2 linked regions of the Oryctolagus cuniculus genome follow. Each later gene encodes a partner of the first gene's protein in a complex. Links are inferred from orthologs where the notes say so. Each region holds a gene or a part of one and is shown in the gene's direction. Other genes may lie near its edges.

Region 1 (3,819 bases):
GGACAGACAAAGCTTCCAGCCCCTGGCTTTTGCCTGGCACATTAAGGCCATCTGGGAAGTGAATCGGTGGACAGAAGACATCTCTCTCTCTCTCTTTCTTTCTTTCTCTTTCTCTCTCTCCTTTGAATAACTCTGTCTGTCAAATAAGTAAATAATCTCTTAAAAAAAGAAAAAATACGAATGCCAGGCTGGCTCAGAATGTTGAAACCTGCGGTCGTGGGGAGTCTGGATCAGTTCTCCGGGAGTTCTGTCTTGGGTGGGTGGAGACCCCCTGGACTCTCCTTGGCCTTTCGCGCCTGCCTGCTGGCACTAAAATATCCTAGTGGCCCGTTAGGTCCAAGTAGGTTTTGCAGATCAGTGCTGACTTCCTGCTTTTTATCAACAACTTTACCTATTGTGCCAGCTAAACTGTTAGAACTCAACGATTGGACTTAGAATGTCTACTAGTCTTGCAAAGACCCTTCAGGAGTATGATTAATCGTTCACCTAACTTTAGATCCTTGTTTAAAAATGAAGAACACGTTGCCAAGCCTGGTGGTTGGTGTGCGTTTGCCCCTTCTCCCTCAGAGCATGGACCACTTTGACGACATCGGCCCCAGCGTGGTCATGGCCTCACCGGGCATGATGCAGAGCGGCCTGTCCAGAGAGCTCTTTGAAAGCTGGTGCACCGACAAGAGAAACGGCGTCATCATAGCAGGCTACTGCGTGGAAGGCACGCTTGCCAAGGTCAGTCACGTCTTGGGCTCTCGGGACCCTCAGAGGTTTTCCCACCAAAGTAGTTCATTAATTTAATTTTGACCTTTTAAAGTGAGCATGGAAATGGGTGCTAGAGATGTGCGTTGGGCGAGGAGCTGTGCACGCACCAAATAGCACAGCAAGAGCCACGCGGTCGGCACACTCATTAAAGTCAGAGATGCTCATCCGCTTGCCAGTTAGAAAGAACTGATAGGCACCTCCCTGAGACAAGCACACATGTGACACCCTCATGCAGTGAAGAGGAGGTTCATTAATACACACTAAGGCCTCTTAATCCCACGTTCCTGAGACCTGAAGTGCTTGGATTTCTGATTGATTTCATTTTATTGTTTTTGGGGTTTTTTTGGTTTTTTGTTTGTTTGTTTGTTTTTTGCATTTTCTGTATACTTAATGAGATATCTCGGGTATGGGACCCAAATCTAACTAGGAAATTCATTTGTGTTTCACATATATCCCACACACGTCACAGGAAGGCAGTTTTATGAAATGTTTTAGTGCCTGTGTTTTGTCTGTGGCTATCACATGAGATCAGACATGGAAGTTTCTGCTTGATGTGTCATACCAACACTCAAAGGGTTTCAGGTGTTTGCAGGTTTTAGGTTTTCAGATGAAGGATGTTGGGCCGGTAACGCGTTGTCTTAAGAAGCCCTGGAATGGGACTGGGTTGACCGTCCTGCTGTTGGGACTGGGTTGACCGTCCTGCTGTTGGGACTGGGTTGACCGTCCTGCTGTTGGTATAAAACACTGATGCTGGTTCTCCGAGGTGTGGATGCTGTGGAAAAGGTGTGCCAGGCCCAAAGGCAGTTGCTGAATAACCACAGTCACCTCCTCACCCTCTTCCCATGCACATCTATTTTATTTTTAAAAATGTGGTATGGTTCCCACTTTGATCATTTTTATTATTTCGCCTAATTCTACAAAGTCCTTTAGAAACAATATTGGCCATGTATTTAAGGTAGATTTCTAGAATAGAATTACATCTGTGCTTTATATGAGTCCTTGTATCTGAAAAGTGAATTTTTAGAGCAAAAAAATAGTTGGGAATACAGGTTTGTCTTTCTAATCATAAGACTTGAGATTTTTACTGCCAGCACTCCCGAAACATTGAATTTTCATTAATCTATGTATTTTCCTTGCTAATTGCTTGCCTGATGAGGAAAATGAACATTTAATTTCTGAGTCACAATGTTCAAATGTGTTTTGTGCTGAAGGTCCCACATTACCCTGAGAGTTGAATGGCTACGTGCACCTCCTCTTTCCTAACTGGAGAGTTTGTTTGCTTTATTTTGTGATTTGTCTTTGTTTTTCACAGCATATCATGTCTGAACCTGAAGAAATTACTACCATGTCTGGACAGAAGCTACCATTGAAAATGTCTGTTGATTACATTTCTTTCTCTGCTCACACAGATTACCAACAAACCAGTGAATTTATTCGTGCTTTGAAACCGCCTCATGTGGTTAGTGTGTGGATTTGATCTGTAATGTTCTAGTGGGAAAAGCTTACCCAGGAAACCAGGCAGCAGCTGGTTCACAGACAGGCACTGCCCGCCATTGTGGTGAACAGAGCGTCTGCCCTTGGGCGTGGTTTCGGCGCCCTGTCCTGGGCAAGCCGCGCACTTGCTCGTGTTTGGACCTCTCAGCCCAGTTTCGTGTGCTTGCTGGGGCTGGCTGCTTCCCCGGTGCAGTGCGGCTGCTCGTCCTCCCCTCAGCGCCATCCCCTGGGCAGGCCACGCAGCCACTCCACCTGCTATGTCCGTAGGGAGAATAGCCCTGCGTGCAGCTGTCGGGAAGGCTGAACGGGGCCGTGTTTCCACAGCACCGGATGGGGTGCCAGGAGCAGATGGGTGCTTAGCAACACCAGACAGGCAGTGCAAGGGTGGTCAGGAGAGGGGGAAAGATAAATCATAGAATAGCGTCTTCTTAGTACAGCTTGTCTATATTCTTAAGTTTCATGCAGTCATAAATGAAACAGTTATGTATCTTAGTGGGATCTAGGAGAGGAGTAAGCTGAAAAAAATATGTATTTTTAACTAGAAGAACACTTAAAAACATGTCTGTATTAAGTAGTATAGAGGAAGTGGACGTTGGTTAGTGTTGTAAACACTTTTGTTCAAATATATATAAAATGGAATTTGTAATTTAACAATTTCAGGTGTGTAATTCATGGCTTTAGTGATTTAGTAATGCTGTACAACCGTGAGCAGGGTCTGCAGGCAAAGGCTGCTCTGTCTTGTAAACAGATACTGTAACAGGGACAGGGAGAGACTGGCAGTTAACGCATACTCGTAAATACCTCCTCCAGAGCACTTCTGTTAGTTCTGAAATATTTCTTTGATGTTGCTTATTACACGGAAGAAACATCCGTTTGTTTTATCCTCACAGAAAGCTTCTGTTGGAAGTCTTAGAGTAAAAACTTGAGAAAGCTGTAGGAGCTTCTTGAGAGTAAAGTAGCAACGGTTCTGTACAAGAATCATGCACGGGAGGTGGTAGGGACGAGTCTGCTGGTCAGCCCTTGACCAGTGTTAGCGCAGAAACAGGAAAAGTCACGGGCTTTCTCAGTGGCAAAGGCTGGAGAAGGAAAAGCAGTTTCGCAGCTCCCAGTGTGTCTCTGTTTCATGTATTTAATTCAGGAACGGGCCGTCATTCGTCTGAATAAAGAACGTTTCTCTGTGCCCTTTTAACTTCTATTTTGTATAGATTTTGGTCCATGGAGAGCAGAATGAGATGGCCAGGTTGAAAGCAGCCCTGATTCGAGAGTATGAGGACAACGATGAAGTTCACATAGAGGTCCATAATCCTCGGAACACAGAAGCAGTGACCTTAAACTTCAGAGGAGAAAAGCTAGCTAAGGTAGAGGCTCCTGGCGCCTGATCCTCTCTGCTTTCTGAAGATAAGCCTCCTTTGTGCACATCACGATATTGTGCCTGTTTCTGCCTATGGGAATTTTAGTTTGTGCTTTTTAGGCTCCTTCTGGGTCCACTGATTCTTCTTCAGATGGGAAGTTTCCAGATTGGTTAGATCTTAATGCCGTAGAGTCTGGTGGGTAACTCTAATCCACACC
Region 2 (2,526 bases), on another chromosome or scaffold:
GGGTTTCCTAGGCCAGAGCCTGCAGTTAAGGGGTCCGAGCCAGGAACCCAGCTGGCTGGGAGATGGCCTGTCAAGTCCCCAGCCAGGAGCCCCCGCCCCCTCTTTCTTGCGTGACTCCCTGGAGGGCCCTCTCAGCCCCTAGACCCCAGGGCAGCGTGGCAGGCTCCAACTGTTTCTCTGTGACTGTTGCTCGCCGTGTAGGCCGCTAAACATCTGGCTGAACCAAGCGTTCATCCTGACCTGAAGCTAGAACCTCAGAAACAAAAGTAAGGCTGACCATGCCCTCGCCCCACTGCCCAGAGACCTCCTCTCGTCTCTTTGATGTTTTGTTTTCCACTTTTATTTTCCGTTTTTGTCTGTCTGCATGGTGTTTTTCGGGCAGCGGCTCCTGCCATCATCACCAGCTGTTTTTCTGCCCTCTGCAGAGGGGCCATGGCGGAAGCCCTTCTTCCTGCTGGCTGAGCGGGACTAGTCCCGCCCTCTTTTTTTCCTGACCCCATCGGTAGTCTGCGTGCACGTGGTTTCCGCAGTAAAACCGTGTTGTGTAACTCTTTCCAGCAAAGTAACAATCCGCCATTACAAAGGTCGTCCTCCTTGATCCAGTTAACGAGTCAGAACTCTTCTCCCAATCAGCAGAGAGCCCCGCAGGTCATCGGGGTCATGCAGAGTCAAAGCAGCAGTGCTGGCAACCGGGGACCCCGGCCGCTGGAGCAGGTCACCTGTTACAAGGTGAGTGTCGGGGCGGGGGGCAGGCTGGGCTCCTCTCTCCCTCATTCCCGAGGTGCATGGTGCATCTTGCAAAATGAAAACCTCTTTGTTTTTGCCGACCGTAAGAGTAAAGTTGGGCCACTGTGGTGGCTGGAGGCCAGCTGCTTCTACCGCCATGCCCAAGGCGAGGTGACTGACAGCATGACGTGCTGCCAGGTGCACTGCGCTTGGAAGAAAGTGCGGGCAGTCTAGGAACAGGGAGAGCAGTCCAGGCAGTGGCCCTGAGGCCCTGGAGGCCGTGGAGGCCTTGGATCCTGCGTGGGCACACCCAAGGGAACAGGACTAAGTGGGGCCCGCGGGGGGGGGGGGGGAGGCCTGGATTAGAACACCCCTCCTGTTCCCCATCTCCCATACATTAAATGAGATGTTACAGGGAAAGAGTGAACTTAAAGAACCTACTAGAAAACCTGTTTTTCTTATTCCTGCTCTGGGTGGGAAGGAGGGGAAATCCCTGGAGAGTGTGCAGGTGCTGTCTGGCTTCCTGTGAGTCTGGGGCCTGTGCTCACGACCCCGGTGAGGGCTCAGTCACTCCGGGGTGGCATGCACGTGGCAGGAGCGACCCCCAGTGCTCTGAGGAGTATGTTGTCAGCCAGGCCACACACAGTTCCCCCAGCTAAGGGCTCCAAAGGATGAGTTTATGACTAAAAGTCACAAATACAGGGAAACAAGCTCCACGAGTGAGTCACAGAAAGAGCCCGCAGAACTAGACCCACAGAGACTGCAGCTCCCGGGCCTCTAAACATAGAATACGGGATTAGTACATGCTGTTGGTAAAGGGTTTGTACAAGACCGTCTACCCTGTGTAGGGGACAGTGAGTACTGTCCTTCAGAGTTCTGGTGTCACACTTTGGTTCCCTTAAAGGAGAACACATCAGGGACCCCACGCCATGTTTAGAAACTACCGTTCCTCACACAAGTTCAAGTCTAATAGCGATTTTAGTACAGAGCCCTGGCGTGCACAGCATTCTGCAATCTCTTTATAATATCTGCGGCTGCCTCCATAGCAGTGTATAGAAATGTGATCTCTTCCAGCGACTGCGTTACAGCGATCACAGCTCACTTCCCAGTGCTCTGTGGGTAGACGCTTAACAGTTGTGCTGCTGATGGCGGTGCTGAATCTGACACTTGGCCATTTCTGGAATCTTGTCTGACGATGGTGTTGCAGGCCATGCCTGTAAGAGGCAGGTCTGAGTCCGAGGGCTTACTTAAAGCCTTGCTAGAACTTGCCCAACAGAAAGGCTGCGTCCTGGGACACTCCGGAGGCCATCAGGTTATTCACGGAGCCCCGGCTCCGCCGAGAAGTTGGATCCTGCTGTGGCTCTTTCCTCGGAGGAGTCTGCATGAATGAAACTTGGGTGTGTGCATTTAGGGAGTCTCCCTAGAGACTTCTGGGCTGAGCCCTGGCCTGTGAGGAGCACAGCCAGCCTCCACGGCGCAGGGAGAGCCGGCATTTCACCCCATCCCCACCCAAGATGTCCAGCAGGGCTTCCTCTGTGAGGCCACCTCTAGGCCTCGAATCTTAGAAAGGCGGGGGGTTTGGGGCACCCGACTTTACCACAGCTGTCACTCCATGAATGTCCAGGAACCTGGGTCCTCAGGGTCAGCTGTGGAGGCTGTGCTGGCTCCCTCTGGTCGTCACATCTGCTCGAGGGCTGACTGGCAGCTCCCTGGGCCACTCCCGCAAACCGAGCTCAAAACTACGAGGCCTGCTGGACAAGGGGAACGGAACAGCCCAGTGCGCTAGGCAGTGATGGAGAC

Evidence for each region.
Region 2: CPSF3 (region 1) and CPSF4 share a complex: the UniProt entries of both Homo sapiens proteins name them as parts of the cleavage and polyadenylation specificity factor (CPSF) complex. The link is inferred for Oryctolagus cuniculus from reciprocal best matches to the Homo sapiens genes CPSF3 and CPSF4.

What each region holds. Positions count from the first base shown.
Region 1 is NC_091433.1:192,647,585-192,651,403, reverse strand, and holds part of CPSF3 (cleavage and polyadenylation specificity factor subunit 3), read left to right. Parts: intron 1-567; coding exon 568-726; intron 727-2,068; coding exon 2,069-2,215; intron 2,216-3,455; coding exon 3,456-3,608; intron 3,609-3,819. UniProt on the Homo sapiens protein: Component of the cleavage and polyadenylation specificity factor (CPSF) complex that plays a key role in pre-mRNA 3'-end formation, recognizing the AAUAAA signal sequence and interacting with poly(A) polymerase and other factors to bring about cleavage and poly(A) addition.
Region 2 is NC_091450.1:41,661,413-41,663,938, forward strand, and holds part of CPSF4 (cleavage and polyadenylation specificity factor subunit 4), read left to right. Parts: intron 1-201; coding exon of another isoform or gene 202-270; exon of another isoform or gene 271-558; coding exon 559-960; 3' UTR 961-2,526. UniProt on the Homo sapiens protein: Component of the cleavage and polyadenylation specificity factor (CPSF) complex that play a key role in pre-mRNA 3'-end formation, recognizing the AAUAAA signal sequence and interacting with poly(A) polymerase and other factors to bring about cleavage and poly(A) addition.